Linked DNA regions of Bombyx mori. The protein of the gene in region 1 interacts with the protein of each later gene in a biochemical or structural test. Links are inferred from orthologs where the notes say so. Each region holds a gene or a part of one and is shown in the gene's direction. Other genes may lie near its edges.

Evidence for each region.
Region 2: of the proteins of mitogen-activated protein kinase kinase kinase 7 (region 1) and tab1, one has a biochemical effect on the other in vitro, tested with the Homo sapiens proteins (4 studies listed by BioGRID and IntAct). The link is inferred for Bombyx mori from reciprocal best matches to the Homo sapiens genes MAP3K7 and TAB1.

What each region holds. Positions count from the first base shown.
Region 1 is NC_085109.1:9,466,966-9,471,496, reverse strand, and holds the start of mitogen-activated protein kinase kinase kinase 7, read left to right. Parts: upstream 1-1,609; 5' UTR 1,610-1,813; coding exon 1,814-1,906; intron 1,907-1,986; coding exon 1,987-2,286; intron 2,287-2,401; coding exon 2,402-2,581; intron 2,582-3,164; coding exon 3,165-3,300; intron 3,301-3,889; coding exon 3,890-3,990; intron 3,991-4,460; coding exon 4,461-4,531. UniProt on the Homo sapiens protein: Serine/threonine kinase which acts as an essential component of the MAP kinase signal transduction pathway. Plays an important role in the cascades of cellular responses evoked by changes in the environment.
Region 2 is NC_085132.1:1,622,782-1,627,211, reverse strand, and holds the start of tab1 (tak1), read left to right. Parts: upstream 1-1,566; 5' UTR 1,567-2,013; coding exon 2,014-2,150; intron 2,151-2,671; coding exon 2,672-2,803; intron 2,804-3,403; coding exon 3,404-3,509; intron 3,510-3,835; coding exon 3,836-3,947; intron 3,948-4,430. UniProt on the Homo sapiens protein: Key adapter protein that plays an essential role in JNK and NF-kappa-B activation and proinflammatory cytokines production in response to stimulation with TLRs and cytokines.

The sequences.
Region 1 (4,531 bases):
GATTTCAAACAAAAATGCGTAAAATAACTTACCTATATGCCATACTTACTTTTATATACATATAGGTAATTACAATCTTAACGCAACCATTTATTCATTCACTAAACTATTACGCATGGTACATACGTAAATACTACTTAATACATATGTACTTAAAAACTAGTCGCCCAATATTTTCGCCAACTCTCCCCTTAAATCTTATGCTGATTTTTGTGGTAGAGAGTGCTGTAAGCACGCACGGGTCCTTATCATCATTCTGCCTGTTTCTCTGGCAAAACTGTTTTTATCTATATATCATAGCTAAATCGTAAGTTATTCCAATGCCAATTTTGCAGCATTTACTTATATAGGCAGACTACCAAATGGCGCAAGAGTAATTTTTAAAGTATGGAAGGGTTGCGATTTCTTCAAAGACCCTACTGCATAACGATTTGACCTAGACCGCTGCGTTTTATGAGTGCAAGTACGACCAGAGGAAAATCTTTTTCCTAAGGAAGACCCCCGTTTTAGAAGCCAATTTAGCTTTACTTACTCCCTTAAACCGGCGAAATTAAAATTCGATAATGACTCAATATACTAACTGCATTAATTTTAAATATTGAAATTGAGGTGTCTTGAACCTTAATTTCATCTTTAAGGTGTGAGACCTCCACGGTCTCAAATATTAACTGCTTCGTACTTTAACATCATACCTACATATCAGAGAAACAACTCTAGGTTTTTAGTATTTCTAACCAAGAGATGAATGGATCTAGGAGCTCCCAGATATGGGGAGCGGTACATATGGCGCAGAACCGGACCGAGTGGAGAAGATTGACATACAGTCACGATCCTCAGCATTGAGGGAACGACCAAAAAGAAGGAGCTCCCAGATACAACTGTCTTCGCCTTCAATGTGACTCGCAGACGGTAAAAACTGTAAATAAACTGTAAGCTATAGCCAATCTGGAACAACACAGGCTCGAAATGTAGAAGATTTTATATAATGACTAGCTGACCCGGCAAACATTGTTTTGCCATATATAAGATTTCTAGGGAATTTCTAGGGTAGAAAAAAAAACTAACTTATTGTAAGTGTGTAAGGATGTGGTAAATGAGTGAAAGAGGTATGTAGTGCTGTGAACGATGAGGGAATATATAATAAAATAACAAAACCTCATTCAACCACATAATACCTCATTATAACAAAAAAAAAAGTCCAAATAAAAAATAAAATGTTAGGGGTGGACAACACTAATCACTTAGGGGTATGAAAAATAGATAGTAGCCGATTCTCAGGCTTACTGAATATGCATAAAAAATTTCATGAGAATCGGTCAAGCGGTTTCGGAGGAGTATGGGAACGAACATTGTGACACGAGAATTTTATATATTAGATGAGGATAAAAACAACCATTAAACAGGAAAATATATTTTAAAAAATGGTCATAACTAATATACCTACTAATCCGGGAGAAATAAACATCTCATTCTCAGAAAAAAACTTAAATAATTAATTAATTTGGCATATTATTCTTATTAATTAAATGCTATTTCTGTACTCAAAGTGTAAAAACCACAGTTTTTTTGTAAATCCTACCGATAGATCAATGTCAACAATGAGCTCGGCACATCTCTATCGAAATATGACATTTGTTCTACAGTTTCAAAGATGGCGGCCTTGTCGCAGTTGCTTTTTTCTGCCAAACAATACTGAAGAAATTGAGTTAACCAACTATTTTTACCAATTTATAAAGAAAACTTATTAGTTTGTAACACATAAGGCTTGTATAATCTTTCTAGTCATATTGATAATGTGATAATAAGTGTACCAATGGCTTCCAATAGTTCCAATGTGCAAGACTCGCCAGTTCATCAGCAGACGTTTGTGGAGGAGATTGATTACAGTGAAATACAGGAGCTTTCGGTAAATATTTGGACACAGATACGTTTTGACAAAATCAAAGTTTTTAATAGCATGTTCTGAGATTCTTAAAAATTCGACAGGTCGTAGGGAAAGGGGCCTTCGGTGTTGTCTGGAAGGGTGTATGGCGGAACAGATTTGTAGCGGTAAAGCACATAAATTCAGAGGCGGAGAAACGTGAATTTGCGATCGAGGTACGCCAGTTATCTCGCGTATGTCACCCAAACATTGTGCGATTGTACGGAGCGTGCACGCGGGGTGCTCACGTATGCCTCGTCATGGAGTATGCAGAAGGTGGCTCTCTCTATAATGTACTACACAACCGACCCAAACCCAAATACACAGCAGCACATGCAATGAGCTGGGCCCGCCAGTGCGCTGAGGTAATAATTTACTATTGATCATCAAAATACAAAAGCCAGTGTATTATATTAAGTATTATCTTAAATACAAAATTATTTTTAATTGTGCAATGGATTAAAAATACCATTGTTTTAGGGTGTAGCATACCTTCACTCCATGAAACCAAAACCATTAATACACAGGGATTTAAAACCACCCAATCTATTATTAGTGGGTGGAGGGCAACGCCTGAAGATTTGTGATTTTGGCACAGCAGCTGATAAGGCAACATACATGACGAATAATAAAGGCAGTGCTGCTTGGATGGCTCCTGAGGTTTGTATTCCAAAAACAGTGTAATGCAATAATAGAACTTTACTACTAAACTATATGTATAAACTAAACTTGACTATAAATAATTAAGATCATTATAATGACGATGAAAATGAAATAACTATTATTTTGTGTTTGTTACTTTTTCTGCTTCATTCAGTTTTATAATATTATTACCAGCATCTAATAGTATTTTAAAATTATAAGGACAAACATTATCTTTGAAAAAGAGTACGGAAAATAAAATCAATATTTACTTTTATAACTTTTTTATAAAAATAAAAGCCACAATGAAACTTAATTGCATGGATTATAAAAGGAAAAACTTTAAAGTACTAATAGTTATTGAAACCAAACCAAAATAACTTGAATTTCATTGTGTGTAATAAGATAAGGTGAAATTACAAATTACTCAGCAAATTGTTTAGCGTATAGAAATATTTTAAGCTTAGCTGAATTTAAAATTTAAATCATTATGCTTTTAAATATTATTTAACCACAATGCCTTATATTAGATAGAAGAAATAAATGAATAGGAAGATTATAATTCAAAGCTTTTAAAACATTACTGTTTAATGTTTTTCAGGTATTTGAAGGATCAACATACACAGAAAAATGTGATGTGTTCTCATGGGGGATAATACTGTGGGAGGTATTATCTAGGAGGAAACCATTTGAAGAAGGTGGTTCTGCATATAGAATAATGTGGGCGGTGCATACAGGTTTGATCTGTTATTTAAATTGTTATTTAGTGAAGATACAATAGTTGATCGTTGATTAGATATTATGGTAAAACTTACTAATTTTCATCCAATATGCTTATTATGACAAAAAAATTCGTGCTATTAAATTTTAAGAAATCTATTATGGTTGCGAACAAGTTTCGATTGACTGTGTGTTAAAAATTTCACACTTGCTTGATTATAAAGTGGATCAAACTGAGAATCACATCTCGAAGCGTACTGTCATAATTGGGTCACCTATCATAATTGGTTACTCTTGCTTATGGAAATGAAGAGTTCAGTGCTACTATCCTAACCTGCTACTAAGACCCTGTATTTATGTGTGTGTGTGAAAACAGGATAAACTTTAAGAAAAAAGATCTTAATGGAAAATCTCTACATCACAATAGAAATTGTGGTTAATAACCTAAGTGTAGAAAATAGGGATATGACCAAAAAATTTTTTCAAGACAAAAAAATTACTATTGTTGACTTGTGTGTATTTATCACAATCATTTTAATATTTAGGGTAATTGAATTAATAATATGCTGATGCCTGAATTTCAGTTACATAACTGTGAATTTTCAGGTCAAAGACCAAATCTAATAGAGGGATGCCCGGAGCCAATAGAGCAGCTGATGACACAATGTTGGCACAAAATACCAGCACAAAGACCAAGCATGGCCAAGGTATGTTTCATTTTAACTATTAATTGCTCTCAAGGTGCAACCTTTTGAACTGAGCAGTTTGGCTGTCTTTTAAATTTTACTTCATCAAATATTAAACAGTAAAGAGTCAGAATTCAGCTTTCACATGAAGCTATTTTATAAGTGAGACTATTATTTATAAAATCATGTATTACAGTTACGTTTGGATTGCATTTTACAAACATCTTACAAACAGAATTACCAAAACGAAAATGTAACTGAACTTTGTGCATGTGTCACAAAAAAAATCATGTTATGTGGCTACCAAAACCTATAGACATTACAATGTGAATGCTGCCATGCAGCTTGTGGTGTATATGTCTCAATTGAATGGCAGTTACACAAATTATAATTCTCGTGGGCTTACTTTTAAATGTCTATTTTTTTTTATATTCATCTACTAACATTTTAGGGTATTTATCAAACACTGATATACTTGAAACTTTTTTCAGGTAACGGAAATAATGTCAGCACTATGCGAGTTCTTTCCGGGTGCTGACACGCCGATAAACTACGACGACTG
Region 2 (4,430 bases), on another chromosome or scaffold:
AAGTTATGTAGGTATATAAAGAGTAATGTTTCAATATTTAATGAATTTATTTGATTTTTGCGGTTGCCTATGAGTGGGTGGCCTGATTGTGTTGTTGGTTAGTATTCATTTTAATCATCCACGTCGTATCGATAAAAATATGTGAACAGAAAATATTTTTGAAATTATGCAGGCCTATTTCCGAGGGACATAAGAAAGAACTGCTAAATCATTTTTGGTTCCGAAGTAATATTCGTAGGACTGATTTTTAAGACGAAAACAATAATGAGATTTCGACAGGAATCCTGCTATAATATAAGTATTTTTTTTATTGATAGGATAGGTAGATAAGCTCACGGCCCGCCTCGTGATAAGAAGTCACCAGTTTGCTTAGTGCGAGTTTTTTAACGTTCTCGACAGCGTAAAAGTGAACTCAATTCTGTATGCAGTTGGAACAGTGCCCCTAGCGGCAAACGTAGGCAAACGATCCCATTCTATACAAATATGAGCTAACTTTTACGCTATCGAGAACGTTATAAAACTCGCACTAAGCACACAGAGCCGGGCGGAGCTCTTAACAAGTTTCAACTTTAACAGTACGACGGCCGAGCCTCCTATGAGGTATCCGCGGCTATGGAGCACGCGGGGTATATGAGAATTGATGGTCTGCAGATGTTGGAGGCAGGCTGCGGGCTCAAGGATATATCTAGGACTCTACTACACCAAACGACTCCCCTTGCACTCTCACACCCGACGTCCGATTTCCGCCCGGGGTCAGAACTCGGTCAAACTAGGGGGACTCTCGCGGTCAATACTACGACCAGGACCTCGCTGGGTCAGATCCGGCCTGCAGGAACGCGATACACCGCCGACACGGGCAGGGTTATGCGAACATACGTCCTAGAAATTACGTAAATCATAATTTTTACGGATTTTTAGTTTTATTGCACGATGTTATTCCGTCACCGTGGAACCATCTTACACCGTCTTACATGGACATTTCGTGTGATACGATAAGATATTTTATTAGAAAAATTGGTACCTGCCTGTGGGATTCGAACACCGGTCTCATCGCTCTGTCTTGATGATTAATTACTAACTATGAAATCATCGTGGCTTAAAAATTAAATGAAGGCATCATCAACACGAAAAAAATACTATGCATTATCAGCCTTAATGGATAAAAAATTAGCTGACGTTCAGAGTTAATGGTCTCATTACAGTCCCTTAATATTTACTTTGTCCTTTCTTATTATCACTAACCAAGGCGTGGGACTTGCCTTCAAATACGGTTTGACATGCCAGTTTTCTATTAGTACTGTACTATCTCAAATGTACCGTATGTTTGATGAGTAAAAAAAAACAAAAACTGGGCTGGACGTTAGTTAAGTGAACAAACGAACACTAAGTGGTAAAATATAGAAAAAAGATTTTCTTACATCTAATTTCTATGTTGTGGCAAAAATAAGAATTTAAGTTATAGTCAAACGATAGTTAACGACTATTTTTATTAAATTTCAATAGTGTTAGGAAAACTTCTGAACTCTAGAATTGTACTTTAAATTTTTGAACGAAAAAAATAAGTGTCATTAAAATAAAAATAGAAACTGCACAGAAGGGGCGACAGAAGGGTTGTTGAGTTTACGAACCTTCAGTTTTTGGGAATCGATTCGATTCCTGTCATTCGATTCAGTTTTACTTTTGCGAAGAAAATATAATAAATATTTTGTAAATATTAGCTGAACCTTTATGTCTAATATGTTAGGTACTTTCATTTATTTAACTTTGCCGTACAACTAGTGTAAAAATGAAAGTAAAATGATAAAGTGACAATATTAAGAACCGATTCAAAATTTAGCATTCTCTAAAACTAAAAAATCGTTTTGATGATTTAAGATGATCAAGTCTCAACTTGGTCTTAGCTCTATATTAAGAAATTTTGGTCATTTTTCAACAAAAGGTCTGTTTCATGAAATAAAAAATAAAAGTAATATTTGAGCTGTGAATTGAGGTGTTAGTGGTAAAAATAGCAATATGATAGCAAGACCGTGGACTGACGATCTTCCGAAGTGCAGGAATACGTGTGTAGCTTCGTATTTTTCAAAGCTCGGAGGACACTCAAATGCTAACGATGATTATTTATGTTTTTTCTGTCAAACAGAGGATAACTTGTAAGTTTAATTTATCATAACTTTTGTATATCTAACCATGTCACAATAGTATAGGGTTAAAAAAATACATTAAATTTGTCTCTGTCTTCATTGTGTCCAAGATAGAATTCATGACGGCAAATGTAACTATAGGTGAAGAAAAAACCCGGTCATTTAAATTTAGAAATACGTAGTTAAATTCCGAAGTTCATCAATTATTATTAAAGTTTTGTAAATAAACAAGAGCTTTTAATATCAACTTTCTCAAGTCAAAATGTTGCAAGTCCTCAACCCTGTTTTGTATTGCTGTTTCTGCAAAAAGCATCTTGCATCTGCATAGTGAATAAATGATATTACAAATACTCTTAAAAGATTTAGCAGTTGATATTATCCTTAATTTCTTTATTTAAATAAATGAAGAGCATTAAAAATAAGTTTGCATTTAAGTTTACCTTAATATAGAAAAAAAATATAAATTACACCAAAATTCGCTTCTTAATACAAATACAAACTTATAACTAAACTAAATGTTATTCTCATAGTTGTTTATATGGAGTATTTGAGCCACACAATGGTCTTGAAGCGGCCAGGCTTATCATGCAAAGAATGGCAGCTGAAATATTATTTCCACCACCCTCAGCCAACACAGATGAAGAGATACGAGACAGACTTAGGTAAAAACTATATATATATTTATCATAAATAAATAAGGGTGTATAAGAGAGATACTATTGTTGCTTTGGATTATGAAATATACTTTATACAAATAGGATAAAATATCAATTACTAGCTGACCCCGCAGACTTCGTAGTGCCTCAATCGATAAATAAAAGACCTAAAGTTTTGTATAAAATAAACTTAAAACAAACAAAAGGAATCTGTTCAACAGGGGAGGGGACACATCAAAGGAAAAACAAAATTGTCATTTTTATTTAATTCCGAGCATTTTCATGATATATATCTTCTATTTAAACCTTCTCTGGACTTCCACCAATAATTCAAGACCAAAATTAGCCAAATCGGTCAGCAATGAACAGCATTTTAGGTGGGTGGGCCATTTACCTTATGAATGTCCATGGGCCCCAGTAACCACTTAAGACCAGGTGGGCTGTGAGCTCATCCACCCATCTAAGCAATAAAAAAAAACAGCAATTCATTTTTATATATATATGGAAGATTTTGCAAATAAAATACACGCTGAGCAAATAGAGCGTAGATGGTATAAAAGATGGAACATGGGTCGAGATATTAATATTAATTCGTTTTATATATAGGAATGCCTTTGTGTCAGTTGAGAAAGCATACATTGAAAACTATGATGGAATGATAGCAGAGAGAACTAGTTTGCAATATCAGCTGCAGACTTCTAGTGAGACTCAGGTACTCATTTTGATTTCTTCTTTGTTTTGTATATACAAAAGATTAGAATGTACTGGCAGTTTCGATTATTCTTTTATATAACAACATTTAAGGTATATTAATCATAAAATACAAGGTATACTTTTACTTCATTTTCACACTGCCATTGTTCAAATGTACGGTAATATTAAAAAAATATAAAAATATTTAGGACAAAAGTCGACATATATAAATACAATTATTATCGTTATTAATAACCTTAAATTAAAATATTATATGCTAGAATGTGGATGTTTATGTTTTAGTGTCAGAGGATTTTTATCCAAGTGCTTTAATTTAAATTTCAGAATCGCCAAATTATATTGTCTCGCTTAAAAGAAATAGACCAGCATCTGTCCGGAGGTGCTACTGTGGTCGTAGCTTTAGTGCACAAAAATAAACTATTTGTTGCTAATGTTGGTGAGTGTTTTCTTATTAAATTCAGTAGTAATATTGTTATGTGGCTCCGAGATTCTATAAAATCATGTGAACCATACTGACTGTTGTAACTATACTGAGGACCTTAGAACTTATATCTGAATGTGGGTGGTGCATTTGCGTTGTAGATTTCTATGGGCTCCAGTAACCACTTACCACCAGGTGGGCTATGTATCCCACTGAGACATGAGTTGGGAGTCTTGTTGTATTACCAACCAAGGATGAATAAATGCACAGATTATTACCACTATCTATTACTTCTATCTATTATTCTAGACTATTGCTATCTTCTCTCATAAAAAATTATTAGCAAATATTAAATTCCATAATCAAACCATTTACTACCTCACAAGGACGCTCTTACTATCTTATACCTTTAAACGAGCAATTCTTGTATATTAATATATATGTATATAATCTGAATCTCGGAAACGGCTCCAACAATTTTCATAAAATTTAGTATAC